3 linked regions of the Schizosaccharomyces pombe genome follow. The protein of the gene in region 3 interacts with the protein of the main gene of each other region in a biochemical or structural test. Each region holds a gene or a part of one and is shown on either strand. Other genes may lie near its edges.

Region 1 (10,141 bases), 1.3 Mb from region 3:
GAACGCTGTTAATAGTCATTTTGGTATTCGAACCCCAAGATCTGTATGTCACGTACGCAATAGGGAAAATATATATTTATACTGGACAACTTTTGACGCTCATAAGTTACCGAATGGAGGAAATGCTGATATGGCACATTTCTCTGCTAACTGTTTACATGCTGGGCACACAGTAAAATTCGTATCAGCAGACAGGCTAGGCAGTACAACTTGGGAATGCAATATTAAATTTGGCATACTAAGCTTTCCCAATTTTGGAAAAGACGATGCAGCACAAAATTGTTTTGCTGAACCAAGTATGAAATCCATATCAGCAGATACTCAACACATTTCCGCTAGGGAATACATATCTGGAACGAGTAAGGGATTCAAAACAGCTACACCTAAACTCCTGAATATATAGTATTGACTTAAATTGTGTGAATTTTTGTTGGATCACTCGCTCACTGTCCCAATTGATACTTGGTGTTTATCATTTGTAGCTGCTTTAAGTCAAAATGAAAAACAGGTTTGCCATAAAGGTACTGTTACAAAACCTATAAAAAATTCAATGTCCCTAGATTATTGGGTTGTATTTAGCAACCAAAAGCTTGGCTAATAAATCACGACAAATATGAGTTTGTAATCCAAGGAACATTTTTGTCAACTTCAATGTGCTCAACATCTTTCGTACACTCTGTGTAGACAGTTTAAATAAAGGAAAGAGCGCCCAGACAATATGCCTTATCAGTATAATAAAATGAATAGAAAGCTGAAACAGTTTTTTTGGAATAGGATTTGTTATTGTGAAATTGAATCAACTTGCAGCAATCAAATTTAATCACTTGGCGCATAGAGGATCTTGATTATATTTTCTGTTCTAATTTAGGCTAATCTGTTATGAGCAAGGAACAATTTTTTTTTTGATCGGATACTCTCTAAAGCAATACATCCGTTTTGTCAGATGGATCGCATTGTCATCACAAGAACCAAAGTGAACAAGCTCTCAAGGCCAGCAGTCATGACTTCTTTTTTTTCAATTTCAAGACCTTTTATAGTGATAGAAAACTACGCCTAGATGGGAACTGATATCAATGTTTACACAATAAATATCTATTATCCCCCATATTCAAACGAATCATTAACTATTCTACAGACTCCGTAATTGGCATTGAATGAATTTATTGAAACGGGAAAAGATATTTTGTTGAAAAATGAGACCAAAATGTGCGAATGCAAAAATAAATGCATGAGAGAATTGATCCATATTACTTGAACCCCGATACTCCAGAAATTCGAAGCAAAAAACATATGAGGATGCACAGGAACCAGTGAAAAAAACTTCGGTAAGTCAATATTAAAGTAATAATTAAGATAATTCATTTAAATAAGTAAAATTGGAACTATAAGGTTTATCACAAAACACAAGTTGGAAAACAAATCAGGCAAGTCCTCTTCTGTCTCGCTTGTAAGACCAGTTATAAAAACATAAAACAAATAAGTTCCATGATATGATTTCTTCTCAAAAATTTTTAAGGATAAGAGAGAGAAGATAATATTGTAACCTTTTTGGAAAAAAATGTAAAGGAAAGTTATAAACATCGTACCATGGCAAATTAATTGTAACGCATTACTACTACATTGTTGCTAAATCCATGAGTAACCCAGTTAACTGATCGATCATAGAAAGATTGAAAACGTAAATTTGTTCATTAAAACTTTAGCTCACAAGAGTAATCAAGCTACTCATAAATCAACTTCAAGGCGGTGCAATTATAAGTTACACAGACGTATTGACCGATCGTTCCTTTCCAACTAAACTTTTAATTTGTTGGTATAACTTCTTGCTGCGATTTAATTTAAGTACCACATCCTTAACCTTTTCGAGGTATCGTTTCTGTGCGCCTGAATCGGAAGGAAGCTTTTCAAGAATGGGGTTTTTAGCACCCAATTTATGTAGTACCAATGCTCTCAATTCTACTCCTCTCAGTCCTAATGATTTAAGGCGTGAAGGCGTTGACTTTACAAGATACTCGTCAAGACCGCCTTCCTTGTCAATGGTCCGCAAAACTCGGGACGTGACATACAAATGAAACTTTTCTTCTAAAACATTTGAATACAACCATTTAGAATGACCGTTTGGTATCCATACACGGCGCGTTTTATGTCCAAACTTGGGGATTTTGTTGTTACCAGCTTCGGTTTTCGACCCACCATATAAATTTTGTTGAAACTTGCTAAAAGGATCATATATCTTTCCTTTTACAGGTAGAGTTGGGTATGCCAACTTTCTAAGCAATTTACTTGCCATTATTAAAAAATTGCGTTGTCAATACCAAAAGTGGTCTTGGTAAACGAGTTATGTTTCTGCAGGAAAACGCTATCCGAATTTTTGTTGACCCATATTAATTTAGCAGGAGAAAAAAAAAAGTTTATATATATTTGTCCAAAAAATATTTAAAATTGTCGGTGTTTACCATTATCTACCTAGTATCTATTTGCATCGTTTGCTTCGACCAAAATGGGATTTTCGAGCTAACCATACGTTCAGAAATTCGTAAATCGATAAAAAAAATAGTTTGTAAATCTTGAAAGTGTAATCTATATTGAGATTGTAATGCAATTTTCATGGGACCATCCAACTCAACAAGTGCACCTTGCCGTAATCTGATTTGAAATTGAATTAAATCAATGTTTTTCTCATAGTTTTTAAATTTAATTCCACTATTCCAAAGAAAGAATTGATATGATATGAACAAGCGCCAATCTCAACTTAAATTTGGCAATGAAGGGATCTCATTAGCGGTTCCTAAGCAATCCTTACAAGAATGCTCCTATATGTCCAATTTAATTACAGATAGAGAATCAACATTTTTATCTTACTTTGTCCCGTCTAAAGATCCAAAAATGCTCCCAGTATATAGATTTATGTTTCAAGAATCTGCCGACTTAAAGCATTGCAATCATAAAATGCAAGCTTGGCGTTTTCCCAATGAGATAGAGGCTTTTAATGATGACGGGGAAGAATACTCAGGACAAAAGCTTCTAAACGTGTTGCGAAAAGAAGATGTCTATGGAATGGTCGTTTGCGTCCGATGGTATGGAGGACAATTGCTGGGTCCTGTTCGCTTTCAGCATATCACCATACAGCCAAACAGTCAATTGATAAATACAAATCAGTACTAGAGGAAGAAAGAAAAAAGCAACTCCTGAGGACGGAGACAGGTCTACTCCGCCAAAGTTCGTCAAGATCAAGTTCACTGTTGGATCAGAGAATACGACAAATTACCGCTAAAGACAAAACTGTTAATCTTTTAAGGAAAACTCTAAATAGACCCTTACTTCATGAAGTTGACTATCACGGAAAAAGTCTTGAAATTCTTGATATGTTGTTGCAGAGCAGAAACAGTATGATATCTTCTTTGCGATCCGAACTACAGGAAAAGAATCAAAAAGATAAAAAAAAAGAAGTAAATAAATTAGAAGAGAAAATGACTAATGCTAAAGAACCTAATGTGAATGTCCCTTCTATGAAAGCGTCATCAGCTATTTCCGTTGAGACGCCTGAGACAATTGAATCAGAAGCTTCAGTGGACCACAAGGAAGCATCAAAGATCATAAAAGATGTAGAAAAAGAAGAATAATTGATTGCCAACCGATCTATCTAGATGTTTTCCAAAAACGGAACAGATTTTTGGTACTCAATAGATGGCTATATGCAGCTTAACTATAATGTTTAGAAATGTATTCAGATCCATAAACTTTTTTACGAAAAAAGATAAAACTCCGAGCTGTCTAAGGGTATTGCTTATTTGGCTCATTTGTTTACGATTTTATCTCTATTGGAATTCCACCAACGCCACGGTCTAAAAAAAAAATGGGAAGCTCCAAATCCTCAAAGAAGGATAAGCAAATCCATCCTTTTGGAACAGATGTTTCTACTTTTCGAAAGCTTTCATCAAAGGAAAAAAAAAAACTCGGTATGTTGGGCAAGTTTCTTTAAATTTCATTAACATGAGTGTTCAGATGAAAAAGAGTTAAAACAATACAAAAAGCTAAAGCATAAAGTTAAAAAGCTTAAGTATGTTTTTTAATGCTTTTTATTAAATCACTACTTCCCACTCTAACATAGTATCAGGAAAGAGGAAAGGGAAAGATCGAGTATAAAAAACACCAAAACTCTAGCGGAGGATCCTATGGGTATGTATATTAAGCATTAACAGTAAATGCTCGTTAACACTGAAAAGTAAAAAACGTAGCTGAAAATGATCATGATCAAATGAAAAACTCGTTAAGTAGGAGTCAGGATAAGGGAAACACTGACTACTGGCTTGCAGCGAGTTTGTCTGGTGGAAATCAACGAAAATCAAAATTTTTAAAAATGTTGGGTATAAAAAATGCTGCATCCATCACTGAATCGTCTCCGTCTGCTCAATCTAATAAAACAAATGACAAGCAGAGAGAGAAAGAACTAGAACAACAATATATGCACGGTGTTTTACACAAAGGAACAAAAAAGGGATTGGGCATGTAATTTGGGGTTTATGTTTAGTTTATTCTTTTGGATAATTACCAAAATTCTCATCTTCCTTTTGTTAAACTAGCTTAAAGTGTTCACTTGCATTCTAAACTAGAGGAAACTTTGCTATGAAATTCAATTTTAGTGAACATTGTAAGAGGTTTACTTTTCTTTAATCGAAATGCTGTTTGCTTTATTGGCCATTAGCACCAAAGATGGTATGGTCCATCAAAAATTCGTTCGTGGGACCTCTGTTATCTTTAGGGATAATTGAAAAAAGATTTTCTAATTTATTAAAAGAATTTAGGGTCTTTTACTTTAATTTTACTAACGTCGTAACTAAATTGGAATATGAGAAGGCATTTCATATCTTTGAGGATGAGTCGTTATAAAATAATATCATTACCTGAATATAAACTTATAGAGTAAAAAGGTTCGCGCGTAGAACGCGACACGACACGTAGAGTTGAACGCGACATCTCATTTACTCTTCGTGATTAATTAGATTTCGCGTTTACGTGTCGCGTCGCGTATATTTATAAAAGACATATCTGCTCTTAAACAAAACTTAAACACCAAGCACGAAGTTAATATTACTTAGTAGCCCTTTTATCAAATTTACCTGACTTGTCTATTGGTAAATAACATAATTAGTAAACGGGGTTACTATAAAGTATCGATATGTGTGAAACTCCAATAGGTTGTCATACACCTCGAAGATGCAATCGTTTTATAGATTCTGCAGCCTTGATTGACTGTACTAACAAAACTAATCAAAGGGAGCATTCACCTTCCTTTTCAATAGAGATTCCGACTACACCCAGCAGAAAACGTACGCTGGCTAGCTCACATTTCCAAACACCCACAAAAAGAATAAAATATGAACTAGGAGAACTGCAAGAGGAGAAAACTGACCTTTATCCTAATTTTCCTGCTCAGTTAAAGGAGAATAAGAAACCTAAATTACCCACAACACCTCAAACTCCTAAAACCCCCAAAAGGACCATTCAAATTGTTACACCCAAATCATTAAATCGTACATGTAATCCTGTTCCATTTGCTACTCGCCTTTTGCAATCGACACCTCACCGTCAACTTTTTCCTCCCACTCCTTCGACACCCTCCACTCCGTCCTATAATTCTACTGCCAAATTGAGTTTACGTAAATCATATCGTTCAGCAGGAGTCGTGGGTCGTGAAAATGAGAAGTCAATTGTGGAATCTTTCTTTCGTCAACATCTTGATGCTAATGCTGGAGGTGCATTGTACGTAAGTGGTGCCCCTGGCACAGGAAAGACCGTTCTGCTTCACAACGTGCTGGATCATGTAGTGAGCGATTATCCCAAAGTTAATGTTTGTTACATTAATTGTATGACTATTAATGAACCAAAAGCAATTTTTGAAAAAATTCACTCTAAAATTGTTAAAGAGGAAATTTTAGAAAATGAAGATCATCACATCAATTTCCAATGTGAACTAGAGTCGCATTTCACCCAGTCCGCCAATGAATTATATAACCCAGTCATTATTGTTTTAGATGAAATGGATCACTTGATTGCTCGCGAACAGCAGGTTCTGTACACGCTTTTTGAATGGCCCTCTCGACCGACTTCGAGATTAATTTTGGTAGGCATTGCAAATGCCTTAGACATGACAGATCGATTTCTCCCTCGTTTACGAACAAAGCATATTACTCCCAAATTACTCTCTTTTACGCCTTATACTGCTCAAGAAATCTCAACAATTATAAAAGCGCGTTTGAAAACCGCCGCTACCACATCAGAAAAAAACAATCCTTTTACTCCTATTAAATCAATCTCTGAAGTAAGCGATGATAGTATAAATGTTGTATCTCAGCATGCTGATGAAACACCTTTTATACATCCTGCTGCAATTGAATTATGTGCCCGGAAAGTTGCAGCTTCAAGTGGTGACTTGAGAAAAGCATTAGACATATGTAGGCATGCAATTGAACTTGCGGAAAGAGAATGGAAAGCTCAACATGACAACACATTATCTTCTGTTGATATACCAAGAGCATCAATTGCTCATGTTGTCCGAGCGACATCTGCTATGAGCCAATCTGCTAGTGCTCGTTTAAAAAACCTTGGTCTTCAACAGAAAGCCATCCTTTGTACGCTTGTTGTTTGTGAAAAAACCTCATTGAGTGTTGCCGATGTATTTGAAAAATACAGTTCTTTGTGTCTTCGAGATCGTTTGATTTATCCATTAACAAGTTCGGAATTTTGCGATGTCGCGAATTCTTTAGAAACTCTTGCAATCATTCGTTTGCGCACGAAGCAGCGTAACGGAAAGCCTCAGGACCGAATCATTAGTTTGCTTGTTCCAGAAATGGATGTCATTACAGCTGTTGGAGACATTGGTACCTTAAAACGATTTTTTGACAGAAGATAGTACTATCATTTCTTTCTCATTCTTTTTTTCTATTCATTATATTTTTATTTCACGCGTTACGGTTTTCAAATTTTGCCGAAAGGATCAAATTAGAACATCCTTTCAATTTCGTTGTTTGGATTACATAAATTTGAACAATATTATTTATCCAACTTGGTGTTTAAACTTTTCAGGTTGATCTTTACTAATTTTACTAACTATACAATTAATAAACACTTTAATCTAAGTTATATCTAATGATTATTCGTAAGAACGCATACCCGTGGTTCAGTCTCAAGTGGTGGTATAAGTAAACTTACGTAGCAAAAGCACTTCTCAATTTTGGGGTCTCTAAGAAAAAATATATACACAAAACTGAATATGATTGACAAAAATTTATAAGACGACATAGTAATCATATAAGCTGCGGAATAACAGTTACTATATCTAGCTAAAGCTTGTTCAATTCTTTTATTCTATGAGATTAACATCTACGGAAATTCGATAATTGATTTGATAAGATTCATTTGCCGATATCTTTTCTAAAGAGTCCACAAAACAACACGTCCGTCGGTACCGCTGGAGGTAAACGCAGTAATATTGCCAGGAGTCCCAGCGTAAGGTCGAAGGGTTGCAATCATATTTTGATGAACGGTTGGTAAAGACGAAATAGACTGGCTGGAGCCCTTCAAATCCATGTTACGGAATGTGCTACGAAGAGCAGTAAATGAAACAGGACCCTCTTCCTCTCTACCTTCACCAGTATTTCCTGTGTGAGTGAATGAGGTCTTGGAAGTTCCGGCATCCAAATCGCGAGTATGGGCCCAACCGGACTCATTGCCTTGCAAAAGAATAGGAGAATAGTTATAGCCAGCAGCCACAATGGCACTCTCATTCGCCCAAAGAAGAGAACGCAAAGGCAATTGAGATAATTTGACAGTAATTAGAGCTCGTGGGGGTTGCTCGGGAGCACTGGGATATGCAATCGTAACAGAAGAATCATGGCCAGCATACGCTAAGGCATTACCCGAAGGTGAAAATCCAACGGCGTGAACCCAACCACCAGATGGGTATTCAGCGCAAACAGTGTTGAAAGGTAAACGTGAACCCCAAACGCTGGCTTCTGGTTTGGCATCGACATCACGAACATAAGCAGATAAAACGTATGCCTTACGGTCTGCACAGCCGGCAGCTAATAAAACGTTATTAGGATGCCAGTCCAAAGACAAAATGGTACTACGAAGCGGACGTTTCAGATGTTTGCTGACCCACCAGTCATTTTCTTGTTCAAAGTAGCAAACAGAAATGACACGAGCACCACTACCAACAGCAAACTTGTCCTCGTTAGGCGACCAACGAACAAACGTAGCGGCACGATTCAAACGAAGTAAGACGAGGGTCTGCTTCCAAGTCCCATCAGGACGTTTCTCATAAACATAGGCATTACGGTCTTGAGAGCAAGTTACGATTCGATTGGATTTCGGAGCCCAATCGACACAAGTTACAATCTTATCGTGATCGCTAAATGTTCGGGCATGCTTCCACCCATTTCCATCTTGCTCGTAAAGTTCAACTTGGTTCGTAGCAGTTGTGGTGACAAACTCTATATCAAATTTGTTAAAATCTACTTATTTAGGTCCTATACTGTACCTGTTCTTTGACTATTGAACGCGTGTTCGTAAGAGGGTTTAGGAAGAATGTGTAAAACTTGAGAGGTAGCCATTTTTCAGTAACAGGACTAGCAGTCTACTGTTTTGCGGATGATAGACGATATCCAAGGCTGAATCGATATTGGTGATGACGAGAGCAGTAGATACATTAACAAAAAACGTTAGAGTACTTTATATACGATAACGCATATCGATGGTATCGGTAACTCCTTTGTTTACATTTTAAAGGTTTGTAAATATTACAACTCAATTAAGACTAAAAAAAATTCCATTAAATAAAATTTGATTTTCTTGCATATCTTTTAGAGATTTTTTATTTTTAAAATATGAGGTGGATACAAGATTTCTATTTGCGTTGATTGTGGAAGAACAATAGATCTTAATGTCTTGACAATCGTGAGTGAACGATGCTCTCTGAGTATTTTTCTTATTAATGAATAAATAATAGGGCGAAGAGCATAATACAATAATTCTCCTTTACAACAAAGAGATGTGTTTTAATGATTGCTGGAGTAACTGAAACGTTGCTTCAGAATTTGACAGCGACATCTTGTCCATTATCACAGTTATATTTTGTGCTTTTTAACGATGATTATTTAAAAAGATCACACTTGTTGCTTATACTCAGACTCAGTAGCGTATTTGATATTAAAAGCTGTGCTGTCGATTTTTTCCAATTCAACAAATTTTGTCGCTATTTAAGTAATTGGTGAATGCACACTTCCATATTATCATAGATCTGAATACTATAGAATCAAACTTTATAAGCAAGTGTTGAAAATAAACAAACAATAAATACATTTTCTTTGGTAATCCTTGCTTCGCCAAATTTTCAGTATAAGCCAAAAAGGATCAATCACATTCATTTACTCTGTTTATTTACTAACTTATATAGTCTAGTTTTGTCCATTCGTGTCGCAGCATGATGATCGATTTTGATGGTAATTCCCTCTGTTTTTGTTTACTAATAAACAAAGCAAAAGACATATATAGAGCAAATATTCCAGTTAAATTTTAACTAAAGCGCATATTTTTATTCGTTTGCCTATATAATTAAACACGATTGCCATCAATATTTGTATAGTCTACCCAATTTTACAATACTTTTAAATTCCAACATGCGTACATACTGGTTATTCTTACTCCTTGGGGGGGTCGTATCTGCAGAAAGCTTACTTTCCCCTAATAAAAGAAGCAAGGAAGCTTCTATGGATGAATGGACGGATCAGCAAAAGGGTATTGCTATGGGACATATGCTGAACAATATCGGTGACAGCGGTATGCATGCTAAGGATATTAATCCTGGATGTATTATTGCTTCCCCTTCAACTGATTCCCCTGATTACTATTATCAATGGGTTCGTGATAGTGCATTGACGATCATGACTATTTTAGATCGTTTCTTTGAAGGGGACAAAGGACTTGAGCCGATTATCGTCAAATATATGGATGAAATGGTCAGGCTCCAAAAGGTCCCGAACCCAAGTGGAGACTTTTACGCCGGAGGTCTTGGTGAGCCTAAATTTAATGTTGATGGGACAAGCTATGACGGAGATTGGGGACGTCCCCAGAATGATTC
Region 2 (11,540 bases), 1.1 Mb from region 3:
ACCACAGTTCGTCAACAAAAGTGAATTCAATTATGGAATAATTGGCAAAATTTGTAAAGCATCATTGTTTTCAATTCAGTAGAGTTTTCAAGAAGTCATTGATTAAATAAGTCTAAAAGATTCACTAGTTCATCAATAAATTTCTGGTCCCGTAACCCTATTCCGCCGCTTAGAATTTCGAACCTAACGGAAATTTATTTTTTTAGAAAAATATGATTTACTTATATCTAGATAGTAAACTAAGGACGCAAGCTCAAATTTGTTCAGCATCGCTCCCTAATTCTCATTTTTCCACTGTTACTAAAAACTGAACTATGTAAACCAAAGTCCGATATTCATCTCAAAAAATAGTACACTGTCACATATGAGCTAAAAGGACATAAAAAGAAATATTTTTTTACACCAAAGCTGCAACTTGTTTCTTTGAATTTCGAATGTTTACATTATTCTTTCCATTTAGCGATACGCTGCTTATTCCTATTGTACACCACCAATATGTGCTACTTTTTGTTACTTAGCTCTAGCTAGGTTTCATACATAAGGTGCATCTTTATGTTAGTCCACCTTCTTATCCCTTTACCGTACTTACTGGCTTCTTAAACAAGCTTCTCCGTTGTGCCATCTAGCTAATATAATCATTTTGAGAGGCTTTTACTATCGATCTATTTGGGTTGAATGATTAGGAACAGTAGCATTTCTGATGCTCTACCTGTAGCATTAGGCGGAAATGAAGAAGAATCGCCTTTATTGATGCTGGTACAATTACCCAAAGAGTTTCTCGAAGGATATCTTTCAGGAACGATAACAGACGTGAGCTTGGAATGCAGTGATGTTGGTACTGTATGTGTGGGCATTTGTGAAGAGCGATAAAGAAGAATGAATTTTGAATGTTGCTAACCAATATACTTTTTTTAGTCAATATTAGCGAACGATAGGTCTTACAAATGCACTTCCGTTCCAGAAACTGCTCCGCATGAGATTTACAGACTGGTGGACTCGAATTCGTTACAACTGGTTGGCCGTGTCTCACAAAAGCTACAGCTTCGTAGAGAGCTCGACAGTTTAACTGCTGAGCGAGTGAAAAATCGTACGCAGGAAGCTCAAAAGGAAAAAGAAGAAAAAAGGTATGAAAAGAACGACAATAGTATCAACCAATTCTATGGATTGGAAGAAGTTACTTTCAATCTTTCTCTTTTCAAATTATGCTAATATTTGTAAAAATAGAATTGTTACCCTTCAAAATGATGGTGGTTCAAAAAATACAACTGCTAGGAAGCAAAAGCAGTTAAAAAAAAATGGACTCAGGCCTCTCAATACAAGTGCTTCACGAATTGGTCTTTCCTCTTCTCCCACAAATACACCTTCCCCAAACCTTCCCGTCTCGCAACCGTCTGCATCACCACATTATTCTGGTGATAAAAACTCGGCCAAAGGCATTGATCTTCGTACTCGTGTTATCCAACTTTTGGCAATCGCTCCCGAAACTGAAGATTTTCTTCGTTTAAGAACAAAGGCGTCACTTTCCAAATTACAAGCGTTATTACCAGAAGTCGCTTGGAAGAACAACATGAATCAATGGGAGCTCCTTAATCCTGTGTATAAAGATGTACGAGTCTTTGATTGGCGTCCTTATAGTATTGCAGACAGGAATGCCGTTCTAAGTCGTATGTCCAATGCATTCGACAACATGCAATTGCCTCCTGATGCTCCTGAACGTTCACTTTTAGTGTCAAAACAAAAAAACATTACTAAACTCAACAATGAAAAACGAATTCCTCCCCAATTGGCCCAACCCACTTCTCATGTTCCTTCATTCATTGACACTAACTCTCCTTCAATGCCTTCTATTTCCTCGGTTTCTTCTTATCAACAACAACACCGCATACCCAAGCTCAACGCTTCAAACTATTCTCCCTTGCTTTCCCCCTCCTCACACCGAAAAACATCGGGAAATCTTTCTCGTACTGGTTCAGAAAGCTCTGCCGTTTCATTAAGCGATACAACAAACTTAAATACTCCTATCTCCGACATTCCTTCACCTGGCTCTTCCACTACTTGCTCCAATCTTTCATCTCCACATATCAAACGAAAAAGTCGTTCTCCTCCGCAATCCTTGCCTTCCACCCCGTTTCCTACGTCTTCGTCTTCTACCAACGGCACTCTTGAACCCAATGCAAACTCTCCCAAGAAGAATGAACAAGATGCATGGATAGCTAAAAAGCGTCGTCAACAACGTTACACTACAGAAGAAATGCGAGCATTGGCAAAAAGATTTCGGGAAACTTATCCGCGTTATAAGAATTTATATTTAAAAGTCTCTTCATATTATGATAATAATGATACTAATAATCCTAATTTAAACAAGCTCCAAGATGAACTTATATCTCTACATTCTCAGCTCAAAAGCTGGAAAAATACACTTTACGATGCTTCCTCGGAGCTAGCCCTCTAACTTTTCTCAATAAATTTCCGGTTTTCTTAACACTCAGTTTTATTTCCAATGTTTTATAAAGGTGACGGTTATCTCAGCTTCAATTCAAAATTGTTTCAATACTGTACGGTGCCTACAACGAGTGCAGGCTGTTTTTTCCTGCTTTCGTTAAGGCTAGTGTTTCGTTTAAAAGATAAATTGGTTAAATTCATATTCAATTAGCAGTTTATTGAATATTAGTTTGTTTTTGATTTTATAATGAGAATCTTGTTATTGTGATGCTTTTTTTAAACTTTTATGACATATCTTTAAGTTAGTTAAACTGCGTGAATTCCTTATGTGCTATCACTTTTTTTTGGGCTTAAAAGTACCACTGATGAGTCCTTTCGTTTAATCTAATTTATTTTGTTTTTCTTACCACCTTTCATGAAATATTCCGCCAAAATTTTTTTTCTACATTAGTACAAAGTGACCCTGAAACAAAAACTATCATTAAAATGTTTAGGTATTCATTGATCCGTTGATTACTGATTTACCTTCATAAGTCATCTAATATAAATATTTGGAGACCAGCTTCTTTCACAGCTTAACCAGCGCTGATAGCAAAAAAGTAAATTCTATTTTCGTTTATCAGAAGCAAATATTTAATCAATTAAAATTAAAACTTTTATTTATCAAATATCGGTAATAACTACAATGTGTAATGGTATATAACCTTCAACACGGTCGTCCTTATTTTTGCCTTTCTTATATTGTTTTATTTAAAAAGGATACAAAGTTAATAAAATACAACAGAAACAAAAAAAATTGCAATTCTTTTATATAACCTCCTTAAGCCAGCGGTAATAATGCGATGGCAAACGTCGATGTTCACGCAAACCTACAGAAACTACATTGATATCCACTTCTGGCTGCCATAGTTGGCATTGTCTAGAAAGGGCACCACTAACATTAGTAGAAGGGTGAACCGGTATAATCAATCCTATAGACCCTAAAGTTTCCCATGCTTCCAAAGCAACATCCCTTCCCCATAATCGACTGCTATGAGCTAGAGCTCCCGATGCTGCGGCATTTATAACGGAAGATTGATGCAGTTGTCGATATTCTTGATAAGCACTATTAAAGTTGCAAGCTGGAATATCCCTAGCTTCAAAGCGAACTGCACAAATCAATAAAGCCAACTCCAACAAACTTAAATTCTTTACAAGTTCAACCTTATGGTCAGAAACTTTGAGACTGATATTGGCGAAGTCTTCATCAGCAAGTAATGGACGATCAGGTGCCATGGAAAGTATGGGAAATAATAAATCAACATACAATAATTTTAAATTTCTGCTTGCAAAATAGTGATGTTGTACCAATTTATGTAAGTGACTTCGTGTATCGGAAAGCAATTCATCCACTCTCTGGTTCCAGCATGTTATTATTTGGTCTTTTCCGCCTTCGTCAGAAACATACAAAACAGATTTTAAAATTTGCTCAAATTCACTAAGCGAAGAAGGTGGTCGCATGGGAATTACCATGTGACTAAACCTACTTTTTACTCGCTTTTCAAGTGATTCAGAACAATCATAGCGAGTAGTCAAGCCTATGATCAGTATCGGGGCTTTCCTCGATTGAGCAATGTCAAACAAGTTATACAAGAGCATTTGCCGTGAATGCTGAACAAACAGGTCAAACTCTTCTAAAACAAATATCACGGCTGCAGACGTTGTCATTACGTCTTCTGCAATTCCCAAATCCACGGGATGAGACAATGTAGCTAACAATTTTGTAAGTGTATCAGAAAAGTTCATTTCTGATTTTAATGCTTCATCAGACTCGATAGATTCAAGTTCAATAGATAATTGTCGCGATATTTCACGCAAAGCTAGTTTGTCATCTGTCTGGTACGTACCATTCAATCTTACGACATAACTTTTTTCATTTATTTCCTGAGCTGCGCGTGATAGTATATCATCCACGAGAACTGATTTTCCAGAACCCCGTGGACCGACAATAATGACAGAATTACCTTCGCCAAGTACTATAGTTTGTCGGACCCATTGATAAAGCTTTGTCTGTTCATCCATATGTCCTACAAGAGGGATATGGCTTTTCCCACACAACCTTGCAGCAATCGTAGATTTAATAGTATGTAACTGTGAGTCAATTTCAGAATATGGGACGTCATTAAATACAGACTCAACGACAGGATTAGGATAAAGTTTATGCTGACTCTTTTTAGGAGAAATAATAGCAACTTCGAAATTAGGTTTTTTGGGAGGAGGTGTAAATTGAGATTGTCGAAGAAGGGGTAATCTGTCAGATGAAGGAAGTAGTGGAGAAACTGAATTGGGTGATGAAGATTCGGATTGCGGAGTTGCTGAAGAGGAGTGAACAGAGGAATCGGTTAAACCAGGTGTGATATTACGAATTTCCGCATTCTCTTGACGCTTTTTCGGTGGTCGTCCACGTTTTCTAGGAAGCAACGGAGCTGATTCTCGCTGTTGATTATTAAGGAACTGTTGATTATTAGGAGATGTAATAGCAAAATGTTTAAGTGACAACGCGTCTGAGTCATGAAGCATATCCTCATGTTTTCTAGTAAAGGCGCTTAAAGGTACAATTCCACTAGCTATTTTTGGAGGTCTACCACGCTTTCTTTTAAAAAGGGATTGTGATTTTGAATCTAAAGGCAAGCCACTCGGTCTTTCAAGGCGAGGTCTTCCTCTACCTCGTTTGGGTCTATTTTCATCTATTTTATTTTCAGTACTTGTCCCAAAAAGTATCTTGGGCTTATTTAAAGGAGGTCGTCCACGTTTCCGCTTTACTGGGACGTCTGCAGTAGAAAATAAAGGTTGATCTGTGACTACAACTTCCTTCCGTATTTCAGATTGTGGATTCAATGAATAGAATTCAGAAGAAGATTGTTCATTTTCTGGATTCAACTGTGAATGAGTATGTAGATTTGTACCTGTCGATTCAACCGTTACATTATTCGAAATTGGAGTATTTGCAATCTTCTGTTCAGATCGATGTAAAGGTGGACGCCCGCGCCCTCTTTTCGCAGGTAATACTACCAAAGGAGAAAGCCCATTTTGACTTGAGCTCCCTTCTTCTGGTTTTATTTTTCGAGGTCGTCCACGCCCTCTCTTTGGCTTCAGCTCACTTAAATTGGCATGCCCTTCGGCAAAACCTTCTATGATATTCGGCTCATCTAACCCCATCTGTAGATTATTTTGAGTTGTTCCCTCATCTACAGACGGTTGCACTACTGGGAGAGGATGTAAACGAGGACGTCCTCTACCTCTTTTAGGCTTTAAGGGATCATCTAGTTTTGTGGAAGGAGAAGAACTTTTTATTTTTGGAGGTCTGCCACGCTTCCGTTTGATTATAGGCTCCGATCCTTCGTCAATTGGTTTTGGTGGATATTTTCGAGGTCTTCCACGTCTGCGAGGAGCTTCATTGAGACGCAAAGGTGAAGGTGAAGGCGGAGCTAAAGTCGTAGTTGAAATATTATTATCCTGAAATAAAGTGACAGCGGCAATATCTTGCAATTTTGCTTGAGAGGCAGTTAATCCATTATTTGCATCATCATTCGTAGAATTGGGATACTGCTGATCATCATTACCACTTGATAAATTTTGAACATTTGAGGTCTCATTAGTTATGTTTGTCTGGTATTCATTTTCCTTATTTTCATAGATTGCTTCTGTGTCCAAATTCCCAAGATTTGTGAATGGGGATGAGCTCATATTAAAAACTTGAAGATGCACATCCCTATGGTTTTTATACACTGTAAAAATAATGATCCTCTAAATTTAGCCTTTTTATTAACAAATGCAATTAATTGGTCTCTTTTCTAATTATTTTTTTCAATTTCCTCTTGACTTGACAGATGCAGGGTGTTACTTCGATTCTTGGTAAAGGTGAGCAGTAAGATTGGCGTACAGCCTTAAGGACAGGGCCAGTATAGAAATATATTTTTGAAGCTGAAATAATGACTAGGTAATAGTAGTAATAATCTAAAACTATTTTAATCTTTTTCAAGCGATGCTGATGACTATAATTATTTACTTGTTGCATTTATTTGTAAAACCATACATGTATGAAGGGAATGAATTTCAACAGATTCATTAAATATTCATTTTTTATTAAAAAAAAATAGTTCGTTAAAATTAAGGAATGAAGTAAAACACTTCACTTTTGAAATGAGTAATTACCATAAAGCTTTGTAAATTCATACATAAAAGTAGTGAATAGCTGAAAGGAGTCTCAATAGCTATACAAGGTGCCTAAAATTCAAGAGAAAAAATCAAATCTGTTTTTGCTAGCTTTGGTCCAGCAGGTAATCGTACATTAATCAGTAAGTCAAGATATTAATGGTTTATCAAGAATATCCGAAAAATTAACCATATTTGTCGCTCCTTGAAGATACTCGTAAATCTAGTAATGCTTCATGAAGAACTCCTTCCTTAAACGCTTTTTTGAGGGTCTTTTTTTCATCGGTAGAAAGTTTTCTTCCAGCCCTGTAAAATTACAAAGTTAGAATGACGAAAGTAGAAGGGAAACCCCAATAAAATAGAATAGCATAACTTACATAGATTCTAATTGTCTGGAATGTATGGTTGGGTTGTCAAATAAAGAAGACTTGTTTTTCTTTAGGAAACGAGTTTGTACTCGAATTCTCCATTTGGCTTCAGGAATGACAGTGTCAGAGACACATGCAATGGCCTGATCTTGTTTTTCTCTACTTAATGTTAAATATTTTTTCGTTGATACACTTTTCCAAGCCCAAAATCCTGAGCCCAGATTCTCCGCTATCCATTGTTCCTGTGATCCTACCGCCTCTTGCGTACAATACAAGTCTCCAGACTTACTACATGACATGTATTTACCTAAACAGCTTTTCAATAGTATAGTATTGTTCAGTATGGATAACAAAAACACCTGGCGCGTCAATTCTGGCTCTAGCGAAACTTTGTCGAGGGGAAGAAGAACGCAACTTTCTTTAACTTCTTCAATTCCAAGAGATACACCAGCATCATCGTCTATTTTACTACATAAAGTTGTAAGTAAATTAGAAAAAAAGGTATAAGAATATTGAAGTTAAGCTTACTATATAACCGCTGGACCCTCAAGCTCATTTAGCTCGTTTGCGTCCGTCCAAAAAGGATCGTTTTCAGCTGATTCTAGAGAAGATTGAAGTGATTTTGTGTTCTTTTTTTTCTTCTTTTGACTGATTTCTTGTTAGTGATGAACAATATAATATGAATTACCACATTCGAGCAGTTATTTCATTTTATCTTACATCTTTTTGTCTCCCTTGAAAGTTAATCGCATAGACATTTTACCATCAGTAAATTACCAAGAATTTAAACGATTAAAAATCCTTAAAAATGATAATTGTTAATAATGGATAATGACTAAATATTTATGCGTGGTTTTCGAGGAAAAAGCAAGTAGTGGGAGTAGTGTTAAGGATTTGAACAGACCAGATGCTTCTTCGTGCTGAAATCCAATATGTTCTGAGGAATAGGCAAGGTACTCTTAGCAAAACAAAAGAGGTTCAAACGTTTTTAATAAGCAAGGAAATGCTTTATATGAATAGAAATGTTCTGTTGCTCACAATGTGACTTTTGTGACCCATGCTAATGTTGGTTTGTAAAATGGATGATTTGCATAACATTCTAATGGCTTGAGAAAGAAAAAAAATGTGCTTAATTGAATGATAATTTTGAATATAGATGAGAGAAGAAGTATGCACCGAAGACTAGCATTGTTCAATACCAAAAACATTCGTTGAAGGACGAGTCATATTCCAAAAAAGGAAGTCCATTGATGACAATAAGAATTTTTTTTTGCTTATTCAGTTGAAAGCTTACAAAAGATGAGCACTGTTTCAATTTACTTATTACTATGTGAATAAGTGTAGCCATAATACCTGCATATTAAAAACAGCACAAAAGTGGATGAAAATATTTGAGTGATAAAAAAACAATAGTATTAATTTTGTTATTTAATCTATTAACTTGATTATTGTTGTACAAATGAACTTGGAAATTCCAAAACATTCAAAAAAAAAAAAAAAAAAAAAAAAAAAACTAACTCGTTAGTTAATAAGGTTATTTTTTAACGACTTTTACATTCATCTAAACCAAATGCTGAAACATGAAAATTTTAATGTTTGTAATAAAATAAATATTTTTAAAAAATAAATAATAAATATAAGAATTTATTTTTATCTAATATACTAACCATATGCGTAATATGTTAGTTTCTTAATCACGGTGAATAAATTTCTTTTTTTTTTTTTTTTTTTTTTTTTCTTAAAAAATTTTTAATCAAAAAATTATTGCTGATGGCAAATAAAAACAATGGTTTAATTATTAATGCAAGTGCGCAATTTTTCATTATTGGTTTTGATATATAAATTGAGGCCACGTGAATATCTAGTAAATATGGAAAATCTACAATTTCGTTTTGGACACAATTAAGCAAACATTGGTAACAATTGAACGGATGTATGGACTTGATAAATAATATGATAAGCCTCAACCACATAAAAATAAAATTTAAATAAATAAATAAATAATATTAAGAATATACATATAAGGAATTTCAGCAATATAATTCAATAGCTTTCCATTAATATGCTCAGTGAATAAATATAAATATAAATATTTATCTGTTAACTTTTAGTTGCCAAACAATGTTTTAAACCACAAATTCAGCAATTAATGTTCTTCTTGAGCATAAGCTCGCAAATTATTATTTAATTTTTTTTTTAATTTAGCATATGCATTCATTATTCCGATATGGCCATTTCTTTGCAATGAAATTAGGTGGCACGCATTGGAGTCCAATTGGTGAAAGTAATGATTCATTAAAGTCCAAATGGGCTGAGTGCTAAATTTGCTCAGAATTGAATAATTAAATTAATTGTTGATTGTCACACAATCGCCATCGCTAGACAATACAATTCCATACTGATCGCAAAGCTGGTCAGGAACCCGACCATTCTAATATGGTTTATCTCAATCCATAGAAGGATGGGTAAAAATAGGTCAATATTAGAGCGCAATTTTAATTGTGCGAAACAACAAATGAAAGAAAAAGACTAAAGAAATAGAAAAAAATTGACTTAGTTATTACAACTTCTGCGATCTTGTAAACATTGATGTAACATAACATGCTGCCCTGATTTTACTATTACTATTACTCTAAGTACGACCTAATAATTGCATGTGGCCAGCTCCATGCGGTACTGTCTAGAAATCCTTAAAATAATATTGTTAGATATATTTAAAATATACAGCGATATCCATCCAAAAGAGAGCACAAAGGAAAGATCCCCGCTACCAGTCAGTTTGCCTTTGTTGAATTAGCAGCCTTCTCATTAAACCCCTTTTACGAATTTTACTGGACGCAAGCGTACACCCGTGCAGATTGCAACAGCTCACTTTGACCTTCCTTTCCTCCAATTCGCTCCGACTTTCCTATCATAAACCAATCAAAATCTGTCTACTTTGCATTAAACTTTAGAGTACGCTTTTGCTCTCATGGTTTCCACCACTCAGAGCCCGTCATCTCTAGAATCAAAAGTTTCGTTAACGAATAATCTGTCCTGAATGACTTTTTTTTAACCAATTATAAACGCTCTCAGGAAACCCTAACCTCGACGTTCCTTTATATACAACACCTGACAACCCGTTGTTTACTACAACTACCTTTTATTAACTACGCCTTTTTTTTGGATAAAAAATTTCTGAGTGTCGGATCTTGGTCAGTCGGAGTGGTTTAAGTACTTTCTTGTCTTTCTTTTAATATATACATACTTCAACTACTTGTTGGTCTTCTGATCCGGTTCCACGTCCGTTCTTTCTTACTCTCGTTGTTGTTGTGTTAAATCCAACTTTTCACCTTCGTTTCTTTACTAAAATACCCACTTTCTTTTTACTCTCTCTCTCTTTGTGTTTTCGGTTCTTTAGCCTTTACTCTCGTCACACTCTTACTTTTGTGAATCTTGGTTGGTAGTCGTTCCTTACTTATATCATTTGCGTCAAGGAGGCTGGTAATCTTGGTTATATAAATATAAATATCTTTATAACCTAAAAGTTCTTGCCTTTATTTTTTTACTTCAACTAAACCACTGTATACGTTGTGGTTTTTGAGTATTGTCTAAGCAAAGGCATTACTTGATTTGATACTTCTTTTTGGTCAAACGTTTTTGAGAACTCATTTCTCTTTCAAAATCGTTTTTTATTACATCCTTTATTTGAACAAGGATTTTTTTTGTCTTGAGGAACTAAAACTAAGCCTCTTTGTTTGCAGTTTCTTTCTTCCCTCAATCCTTTGTTCTCGACTGTCACTTTCGGAAACAATATATTGTTTTAACTTGGTTTTCCAATTTCAGCCTCTTACAAAACTTACTCTTTACATATACCCCATATCGAAACGCTCTCTTTTGGCAAGTGCTTACTTGTACTAATCCTTTCTTTTTCATTTAGGACGCGTTTGCATACATATCCCCTCAACCATACCTAGTTCGGCGTCTAAGTATATTATTATCTACTCACATATTTATCTTTTCTTTGTATAACTTGAGATGATTGCCAAGTCGTTTATTGCTTCTTTTCTCTTCCTTTGTTTCGCGTTTTCTGGCGTTAAAGCCGATGGATGCTCTGAGGAAAATGGTTACTACTACTGTAACCAGGCCTCCGAAGTAGAATTCACCAATGTTGGCTATTCTTCTACTTATAACGAAATCACCAACATGGATACCTCTTCATGCTCTTGTAGCAGTACTCCCAAGTCTTATGGCGGCAATTTGGCTCCCTTTGACGAAGAGTTCTCCTTCCACTTCCGTGGCCCTATTGAGCTCAAGCGTTTTGCAGTCTATTATCCCGACACTTCTAACGCATTATCTTCTCTTCGTAAGCGTAGCAACAACCAACACATGAAGAGACATCCTCATCATAAGCGTGACGATGTCATCGACAGTACTCTTACCGTGTACGAAACGGTCATGTATACTACAGCTGTTTATGGTGATTCAGCCACCACACCAGCTGCTTCTGAAGCTCAAGCTAGCAGTGACATTTTGTCAAGCCTTGCCAGCCTTTCC
Region 3 (10,001 bases):
TACAGGTATATAGTAAAACTTTCATTCAAACCGGTCTAAACAATCAATCCTTTTCGGCAATACTTTGTAAATGGGCTTCTATTTCTTCTACTGATAAAACTCGAAATGGTTTGTCGTCTTCAACAACACCAATCTGAAGCTCAGTAGACTTAAAATCAGTACTTAAACTACTCATTAAAGCCTGAATTCCGGTTTCAACGGTATCAGTAAGGTTTGAAGGTATTCCGTCCTTTTTGAATCGTTTTTCTAGCCAGTTTATAGTTTCCGTTTGCTTTGGTCCAGCACTGGTAGCTTTATAACCAATATAGAAACCAGCAGGGTCGAGCTTAAATAGGGAAGGTCCAATCTCATCATCCACAGCTACAAGGGTCATTGCAACTCCCAAAGGCCTCATAGCAGCACGTTGGGTAGAAACTTGAGCAATATTAGCCATTCTTTTGGCTAGAACATCGCAGGGCATAGGGTATCCATTTTTGTATTCAAATTCAGCAGCCTCACTTCGAGCCCGGCTAACTTGCGCGCGAGCGTCCGCGATAGAGCCTGTCATAACACAGCCGATTCCTTTAGTAATAGGAAAAACATGTTTAACGGTAGAGGCATCAATAAGTTTGTCAGGTACTTTTTTTTGGGAGATTACACATGCACAATTTTTACCTGTTACACCAACAGATGTAATCCCTGCGTTATTAAACGCTTTGAATGCATATTCAACTTGATAAAGACGTCCTTCAGGGGAGAAGACGGTAATTGTCCTATCAAATCCGCGTGCTTGAGACATCGTAGTTGGTAGTAGTAGGTTTATAACCTGAAACTTAGTAATTGTGGAACATTAGTACACGCACAAGAGCTTCTTCGATTTCGCTATATTTTGCGTTACGACTCTTTATAATGTAAACAGATGCATGTCGAACATATTAAACTATATTCAATTGAAAAAGAATGAGTTATTGATTTTCTGATATTTCCCACTTTAATTTTATTATCTAATCTATTAGAATAGGAATATCCAACTTTTTGAGTATATAGTTTAGTCTATGCGAAACTTGCTGCCCACGACGAATTGACATTGAGCTTACAAAAAATAATTAAAAAGTATAATTGAAAAGGATGCTCGATTGGTTGATTAATTAAAAAATTCAAATTTCGAGAAAAAAAAATAGCTATGCTAAGAAAAAATGTAAGATGGCATTGTATGTGATATGAAAGACTAAACCTCTAGGAATGATATTCGTTTAAATTAATAAATTATGGTTTTTCTGAGATGAAATCACAAATGTAGAAATAAATTGTTAGAAACTCAAAATATAAAATATTTATGCATTCGATTTTATTGTTTTGCTAGAATTAAAAAACTTAACACAATCCAAAAACTAAAAATTTATAAATCAAGCAGAAGAAAAATACTATAAAATGGTTTAAATGATAAACAACTAAAGCATTGTTAATGAATAACTATATGATAATTTTAACGAAGAAATTGCAATTACTGAAAATACAACAAAATAAAAAAAATAAATAAATGAATATAGCTATCATTTGAAGTTATAAGACTCAGTCATATGCTAAGCATTTAACCATAGTGAGTTTGAATTTATTAGCAATGGATGTTTCAACAAGATCTGCAGATGCCCACGCCCAAACCTACGCAATTGCGAATTTGTACCAGGTTTTAGTAATTTCAGGAAATAATACCCCGTATCCTTTTAATTAGTTTTTTTTTTCATATATAGGGACTTCTTTGCTCATCACAATACCCATTTATGGTTGTTAGTATACCTAAGATTTAAAGCTTCTTTTTGTTTTGGTTGTGAGCTCTGCATATATTCTTCATAACTTCGAAAATTAATTACCTTATCATTTTACTAAAAAACTGTTTCCCTTTTTTCTTCTGTGTATAATAAGCAACCAAGTTTATTATTTATACTGACGAGTCATTTGGGACATAAAATGAAACCTTTAGCATATTATGAAGATCAACTTTTAAAGGATGAGAAGTCATTTCTTAAAGTTACTGAAATAGAAAGATTGCTTAGCTATGCAGCTTATTTGTTGCCAGCGGAATTTCGTGATGATCAACTTAAATCACAGACAAGTATGGATTTAGCTATTTGTTGTAATCTAACCTTTTGTTTAGTCACATCTATTTTACTACTACTTCATCAATTCCATACTGGCTTACTGTTTCGTAAAATTGCTGAGTTACCAAAAACAGAGCAAGCAATTTTGAAAAGTGAACGTACTCAGTACTTAGAATATTTCAGAAAAAAGAATCCTTCCTTCGAAAAAGTATCGGAACTTCTATACTTTCTAAACATATCGACGTTCCCCATCGAGCTTGTAATTTCTAAATACAATCCATCAAGACAGTATGATTCTGTCCTATTCTTGGAATCAGTCAAGTACGGAAATCTACTTTTCGATTAAAATTGTTAACAAATATTAGATTTTTACTTCGGGTTCACATTATGTGGACTACTGGAGGTGATCTTCCGCTCTCTAATCCTGTATTGCAGCGCGATTTCAATGTAAAGACTTTCATTCATCTTCACAAGAAATACTCTAATTCAGGAAGTGCTGTTGTGTTAAAAAACTCCAAGAAAGTTGTTCCCAGACTTAATACAGTCAATTCATCGCTTGACTTCTTGCAAAACCGAACTCCACGTCTTTCTTCAATTCTACCAGATGAGATTTTTACAAAAAGACTTCCCAATCTACGGATTTTTTCTAATTTTATTAAAGTTTGTCGTCCGCTTATCTATATGTTGTTTATGTGGCATTGGAAAAGAAAGCAAAAATCGAGTTCTCTTAAAGTTCGACCTTGGGGGCCTTGGATTGTAGCGTTTGTTTTTGAAGTTATTTCTCAATTAATTGATCGAAGATGTGAATCAGCGACTTCTAGTCGCCAGGGGTTTGGACTAGAACGCCGGACAAATCAAAGTCAGTTTCAGCATTTTGTGGTTTGGGCGTTTACTCAAGGACGATTTTATGATGAGTTTACCAAGTATGTAATTTATTTGAAAGGTTTTTATAACAAAATGTCGTTTTTCAACTCACTAACTAATTTAGACACTGGATAAATCGTTCCCTAAGCTGGGTTAATTCAATACCCGTTTTTGGTAAATATCTACTTCTTTCAGTTGAGGAAAGACAAAAAAGTCTCGAAAATTATATATCCTCTGGTATGATATTGATATTTTTACTGCTACTAACCTTTCATTCAGTTAGAAACTATTAAGGAAGCCTTGATGACCAGAACCTATAGAAATCCTTTTCTTATTTATTTAACTCGGTGTTTTTCTCTCTCTTGATTTCAGTATTGTTAGTATTTCATTTATCTACTACGTCTTTTGTTGCTTTGATGATTAGTCTTCATTCTTCTATAAAACTCAGTACACTTTTATCGAAAATAAAGCAAAAGCTTCAACATTGCATGCTACGAAGATTAGCAACGTTATCCATACATGAGTCAATCAGTATCTGAAATCTGCGGTGCAGATATGTAAGGTTTAAATAAGACTTTAAATTTCACAACTAAAGAATGCTGTGTTAAATTCAGACAAAGGAAAAGATGTAATACACTGAAATTCGGATATTATGATGAGTTCATATCAATTACTAAAAAATGCATTTTGATTTTTTTAATAACATACTTAAAACAGTTAACGGCTAGATTACAAATTAAATCTAAGCAATATTTAATTCTACGTACTCCGCACTAGGCCATTTATTCAAAAATAATTTTGGCTATGCATTAGCGGTGAAGAAGTTAGTATTGAAAGTGAATTAGCTAGGAGAAAGAAAACTTCTAATAACTCAAGCGAAACGAACTTCTGTTCTTTACTACTATTAATCAAATATATTACAAAAAATAAAATTTTATAATTCTATTTTAGAATAACTGTTTAAGCACATTTTGTTACGACAAGGCTTCTCAATAAAATACACCTTGAACCAAGTACAACGCTTATAGTAAACAATCAATTAAGATTTCAATAATTCCAAAGTTTAAATTGTATTTGAAATGTACGAATATTATTCTTCGTTTTCCATTAATTACCTTTCGTTTATTTGTATAAATTAGTCCACTAGTTTTTGCTTCGAGCGATGAATGTTTCACTGCACGACACCATATGCCAAAGCATAAGCATATTGCCATGAAATGCATTTGTATCAGTTGGAAGACGAATTAAAAAAGAATGTCTTTTGCAGGGAAGATCAAATAAAGAAACTTTCATGTTTACTTTTTAATAAGGATTGTCGTGTTCCAAGCATTGTGCTTTACGGAGTTGCTAGTACAGCAAAGACTTTTTTATTGCGGACCGCTTTTGATTTGTCAAAAGAAGAAAATGTTTGGATTAATTTGCAAGACTGTTTTACAGTCGCTCATTTCTGGTACCGGATCCTTATAAAAGTCGGTGTTGACAAAGATATAGCATTAAAAAAAGGCATTAATATCAGTGGATTTATTTATTTACTGGAACAGGCAATGTCCAAAAGGGACTATCATACATTTTTGGTACTTAGTTCCTCTCCTATTTTATTACTCTTAAATACTAATATGAGTTATAGGTGCTGGATCAAATAGATGATTTCGCTGAGGCTTCTACTATTCTATTCTCACAATTAGCTCAGCTTCCGATTGTTGTAAGTAAATATTTACAGACCCACTGATTAACTATTTTAGGCAAACATTCCCAATCTGTCAATCATTTTTGTACTTCATTCTCACCCTGCTCAATACTTGGGAACATTGTCTATTGCAGTGATTTTTTTCCCACAATATACCCAAGCGGAAATATTAGAGATATGCCAAAAAACACCTCCTAATTTAGATTTTTTGGATAGATCTGGCGATAGTGTTTTTGAAGACGAAATTGAGCTCAGCGTCTGGATGCAATATTGCTCGTTTCTTTGGAGTGTTTTTGGAGTGCAGTGCTTAAATGACTATAGGTCTTTTCGTAGTGTTTTGGATAGATATTGGCCAAAGTTCATTCAACCTATAGTTGAAGGAGACATACATCCTGCTGATTATGCTCAACTTCACAAGCTGGCTAAAAACTTTTTAGTGTCAGATGCTACGGTTACTAAAAGACTTCACATAATCAACCCGACTGAAATAAAAAATCTTCTTGATTCCAAATCTATTAACTTGTCGCTCGTTTCCAAATATTTACTCGTTTCTGCATTCCTAGCATCTTATAATCCAAGCCGGTTAGACGCCCAATTTTTTTCATTTTCTAAAACTTCGAAACGACGTGGAAGAAAACGTAAACAAATTCAAGATGAAGGGGTTTTATTTTCCAAAATACCAAGAACCGCTGGGAGCAAAGGCCGGTCTGCTGTAAAAATATCCCAACTTACATTAGGACCTAAACCTTTTGAAGTAGAAAGGTTGATTGCTATTTATTATGCCATTTCTTCCCCGGTAGAGAAAGTTCTGACCGCTGATGTTTTTGTTCAAATAGCTACACTCGCCTCCTTAAAAATGATACTTTCGGCTTCCAAAGGTGTGCTTCGCTCTTTGGATAGCCCTAGATACATTGTCAATGTCTCTCGCGAATATGTATTAAAAATCGCAGATTCACTTTCGTTTCCTCTCGATAGTTATTTGGCGGGATAGCTTAGTATTATGGTTTATTTTATTGCATTACTGAAATTTTGAATATCGTAGTTCTGTCACAATTCATTAATTTATACAGAACTATATGAACATCCATTCTATCTCCCCATAACATGTTATTTTACTGTTTAAAGGGCCCAAAACTTAAAAAACATATTTTTTTTTGTTACTTCTGGAAAATAAAAGAAAATGTACACTACAAACAATTCGATTACGCCTCTGTGATTCTGTGTAAACTGTTACGTATTTAACATTATGGAAGTTGGCAAAGCTGTAAAAAGCAAAAACTAGCGCCGAAAACACTCTTGACAAAAAAATAAAGTAATGTGCTGCTAAGATGGATACATAATATATATCAAGAGGCAAAGTTTCAATCATAACTCTGATATAAAAGTTAACCCTCTGAAAGAGCTACTCTGCTGCCGTGTAAATCAACAACGGGAGACAATTCATTAATAAGAACATATGTATAAAGAAAAGCGTCCGTCAGTTAACGTCAAAACATAAGTAAAAGTATATTTTTAATGGTTAATAAGAAATCATTGGAGATTTAACCAAAATCTTATCCATTTAAAGATGATTAAAAATAAGTATCAAAACCCGTTCATGAAATATGGAATGTTAGAGGTAACAGTAAAAGATGAAATAAAACGGAGGTTCAAATGAGAAAAAGAAAAAAGGGTGTTTCAAATCATCAAATATTTAGCATCACCGACGTTGTGTATCTACACTAGCTTTGCTATGGCTACGATGGCTGCTTGTGCTTCCTCGACGTCCATGTCTAAGCGAAGGAGCACTATGGGGAGCGGGTGGAAGAGTGCCTTTCATGTGAGCATATAAAACAGATATGATATCAGTTAAGCTAACAACGCCCAACAATTGATTGACCTTAACACCACCCATGGATCCAGGGGAAAGATGTGCGTTATTTTTTGGGGAAGGAGGGCAGGAAGGTGACTGCACAAGCCAAAGACGATGACATTGGGTAGCCACCAACTTAGCCAACGTAAAAGCAAAAGTAGAGGATTCATAGATGTTAAAAGCAGGAGCACTATCCTTACCAGCGCGGATACCCTGTTCGCTTTTAATGACACTCAAAAAGTGAGCACATGATTTGTTTAACAAATAGACAGAAGAAGAACGTGTAACGTATTTAACATCAACGAGAGATATGTTGCCAAGTAACCGGAATTGAGCATCGACAACAGCAAGTGAACCAATACCGGTTTGATTCATCTGTCGCAAGGCCGCGGCGACTTTTTGATCTCCAGAGATACAGGTGATGTCAGTGCTTCCAATGTCCAAAGAGTGAATTGTCCTGGACATTAGAGGCTCCAAATCGGGAAACGCACGAATATTATTCCACAAAAAGCGGATGATAGAGCGCTGAGAAGCCATAAAGCTCAATTCACCCTGTTCGTTAGTGACGGCAACACGACGAATACCGGAAGAAAGAATCTCAGCGAGACGTCCAAGGCTGGTGGTGTGAGGGATGGTGATAAAGTCATCCTTGTTTTTCCCGAGTTTTGCAACCTCATAAGCAGTAATGACTTTTCCAGCACGAATATCTTCAGCGACCTTTTTAAACCTGCCATCATTGAAATCATCAAAACCCACTACCATGAGCAAAAATGAGTTAAGATCTGCATAGTCAAAGGTCGTAGCAATCTCGTTGCTTCCCTTAGCAGCAACAATAGGCAAGGCGCTAAGATCTCGGTCGATCAAAATGGAACTTGCCTCTTCCATGGAAGTTTCCGGGTCTATGAGAGCAATTTCATTATCATGAAGAAATGTTACAGGGATATCTTGCCATTTATTTGAAGGAAGATTAGTGGGAATGGGAAATTGTGCCAAAAAATCTGAGACCGAGTTCACGCCAAAGGACTGACGTCCAGCGCTCGATAAAGAATCAGACGATTGAGTTGACAAAGGCATTCTATACAGTTTTCCAGTTAAAATCTCTTTCTTTCCTCTGCATACAACAAAACTTACTGTACCGTGCAGTTTGTCAAATCTAGGTCAGTGTGTGGTTCTGGATAGCGTTGAGGTAGGCAGTGACGGAAGTACCTAGTGATACAACGAAATAGGGGTACGCAGTGGTAAGGCTTTTTTAATCCACGACCTCTTTACCACATTAGACTGAGATCTCTGTAAATCCCGCCGTATACCACCGTCTACCTAATTAATCCACCATGTATGTGGCCTAGTTAAAAATTTCATAATCTGCGATTTCAGTATTTACATCACAATCAACCACTATTTCATTGCTTGCCCGCTTTCATCCCAGCAAGGTAAAACTAGGCAAAAAAATTTTTATTCTTTTTTAAAAATTTAAAAATTAAAATTAAACATAAGGATGGATTTAGTATGAGAGAAAAATAGCCAAGCGGTTAATCGGACGTTTTTCCTTGTTCATAAAGTGGGAAAGTGGGGCAGCTGCTCTAGTTGTAGATGCAGTGTAGGTCGGTTTTGCACAACAAAATCCTAATTTTGTCATTGCAAAAAGGCAAACAAAAATTTGTGTGCAACGATGAAGTGATTAGATGAAACGAGGCGCGCCTATGGAGCAATAAAGCGCTTTGTTTGTTAAAAATGCTTTTGAATTAGAGTTATGGATGAACAAAGTCAACACATTCATATGTACTAAATAATATTAAGACGCAGTATGAAACATACATAATTCAACGTTGCGATACCGAACAGCATCTACCCAATCTTGAAAAAAAAATTAAAATTTACTCTTTATGTTGTTTGATAATTTGGCAGGAGAATAGATAAGTCAAGTCATCAAGTAATTAATTTTATTAGTTAGTTTGAGAGTAATCTCGTACTGTAAGCATAATAATGCATGCTATAATATTGGGTACTCAGTTCTCTAATTATTATACATAGTACTTACACAGATGATCATCATTACCATTGCTTAGCAAAATTGGCAATCATAAACAACAGATATTTCTACCACTGCTATAGCGCTATACATCATTCGAATTTTGAGTGGACTTTTGCTCAAGACTTATTTGTCGAAGAAACGAATGAAAATCCACCCCTTCGTCTAATTTCTCTCCCCAAACATGGAGAAATCAAATCTATGTAATATAGGTTGGAGATGACCAAGTCAGCATTAAATGTTTGATCATCTCTTCACTTAGCAAATCCTATTGAATATCACTCAGTTAATCTCTTGTTTTGATCTTTTTCATTGATAAATGAGTACTAAATACATTACTGCTACGTATTGCTTCGTCTCATATAGTAACGGTGGCCAAATTTGAAGTGCGACAAAATACCATACTACTAGTAATAGAAATTCACATACTGAAACGTCAGATGCGTTTAATAAATAAAGCGCTTGTGTTTTGTTGGCAATTTGTGATTCAACGTGGTAATTAAAAAGTTTCAATATTGAGTAAATGGTCCGCTACAGATCACTCCGGGGAAGAGGTTATTGGGTTACGTAAAAAGACTCATGTGCTGTGGGAATAGCTATTGAAGAACACAAGGTATCGATTGTGTCTCACTCGACGTACCATAAGAAAGTTAAATGGTAAAGTGTGATATATGAAGTGAAAATACAACGTTACTATAATTAGCGGATCCAAGATGTCCAAATGATGATGATGATTGATATAGGAAATGCGATTATGTAGAAGATAAAGTGAATTTCCAAAATATCAAAATTAAAATCGAAAATAATCGAAATAACATATTGATATATATATGTAATTTGAGAAAATAAAATTTAAATATATAGGACACAAATAGACGCTCATCTAGTAGAAGAAATTCCAGCAGTCCAGTTACGGTTTGTAAGAGCATAAAATAAAGTAAATCCATAATTCATATAATAAGTTTTCATCTTGTCCTTTATTTAATTTTATTTTTTATTTATTTTTTATTTTTTTTTTTTAAATTTTTACTCCTTTCATTGATTAATTGTAGTAAAAAAAATCTACAAATTCATCGTCCATTTTATCCTATTCACTCGCAATTCTTTTTGGTAAAACACCCACGTGCGACTTTGTATTTGCTTAACGTACAAACTGCCAGTAGCTTAGTGTAAAAAAAAAATTAAAAAAAAAATAAAAAAAAATAAAATAAATCTATAAATGAATCATTACAAATAACGAATTACCAATTGAAAAATTAGTTAGAGTTTCTTTAATTGATCATTAATACATTATCGAATATTAAAATACGTTGGAAATCTGATATAATGCTGCGCACTTTATTAAACAATGAATTTCCACTAAATACCATAATAGCTTCTGTCTTGTCCTTGCTATGTAAACAAAGCTCAAGCCAAACAAAAACTTCAGGCGCATATTAAACAAGCACTTAACGTTTCGTACTAGATATTCTCTCAATTGAATTAATTGAT

What was found.
Region 1: the proteins of orc5 (region 3) and cdc18 form a complex in vitro, tested with the Schizosaccharomyces pombe proteins (one study listed by BioGRID).
Region 2: the proteins of orc5 (region 3) and orc4 form a complex in vitro, tested with the Schizosaccharomyces pombe proteins (4 studies listed by BioGRID).

Annotation. Positions count from the first base shown.
Region 1 is NC_003423.3:2,212,912-2,223,052, reverse strand, and holds cdc18 (MCM loader), read left to right. Parts: upstream 1-5,068; 5' UTR 5,069-5,179; coding exon 5,180-6,913; 3' UTR 6,914-7,098; downstream 7,099-10,141. Other genes in the region: SPOM_SPBC14C8.11C (uncharacterized protein), read left to right, coding at 1-403; mrpl24 (mitochondrial 54S ribosomal protein bL28m), read right to left, coding at 1,760-2,290; protein tam10, read left to right, coding at 3,857-3,959, 4,006-4,060, 4,118-4,179, 4,227-4,513; arc1 (ARP2/3 actin-organizing complex WD repeat subunit Sop2), read right to left, coding at 7,435-8,495, 8,543-8,615; meu17 (glucan-alpha-1,4-glucosidase), read left to right, coding at 9,681-10,141. UniProt on the Schizosaccharomyces pombe protein: Part of the checkpoint control that prevents mitosis from occurring until S phase is completed. Plays a key role in coupling S phase to start and mitosis. Acts at the initiation of DNA replication and plays a major role in controlling the onset of S-phase.
Region 2 is NC_003423.3:2,020,171-2,031,710, reverse strand, and holds orc4 (origin recognition complex subunit Orc4), read right to left. Parts: upstream 6,324-11,540; 5' UTR 6,169-6,323; coding exon 3,250-6,168; 3' UTR 3,035-3,249; downstream 1-3,034. Other genes in the region: RNA polymerase II transcription elongation factor Ell1, read left to right, coding at 676-840, 916-1,124, 1,225-2,452; FRG1 family mRNA-processing protein, read right to left, coding at 6,822-6,942, 7,014-7,472, 7,533-7,652, 7,725-7,762; SPOM_SPBP23A10.11C (circularly permuted 1,3-beta-glucanase), read left to right, coding at 11,022-11,540. UniProt on the Schizosaccharomyces pombe protein: Component of the origin recognition complex (ORC) that binds origins of replication. It has a role in both chromosomal replication and mating type transcriptional silencing.
Region 3 is NC_003423.3:948,435-958,435, reverse strand, and holds orc5 (origin recognition complex subunit Orc5), read left to right. Parts: upstream 1-4,118; 5' UTR 4,119-4,159; coding exon 4,160-4,516; exon of another isoform or gene 4,517-4,569; coding exon 4,570-4,644; exon of another isoform or gene 4,645-4,684; coding exon 4,685-5,620; 3' UTR 5,621-6,102; downstream 6,103-10,001. Other genes in the region: scl1 (proteasome core particle subunit alpha 1), read right to left, coding at 44-778; Pex16 family peroxisome import protein, read left to right, coding at 1,948-2,092, 2,135-2,399, 2,444-3,001, 3,067-3,179, 3,222-3,235; protein sds23, read right to left, coding at 6,329-7,555. UniProt on the Schizosaccharomyces pombe protein: Component of the origin recognition complex (ORC) that binds origins of replication. It has a role in both chromosomal replication and mating type transcriptional silencing.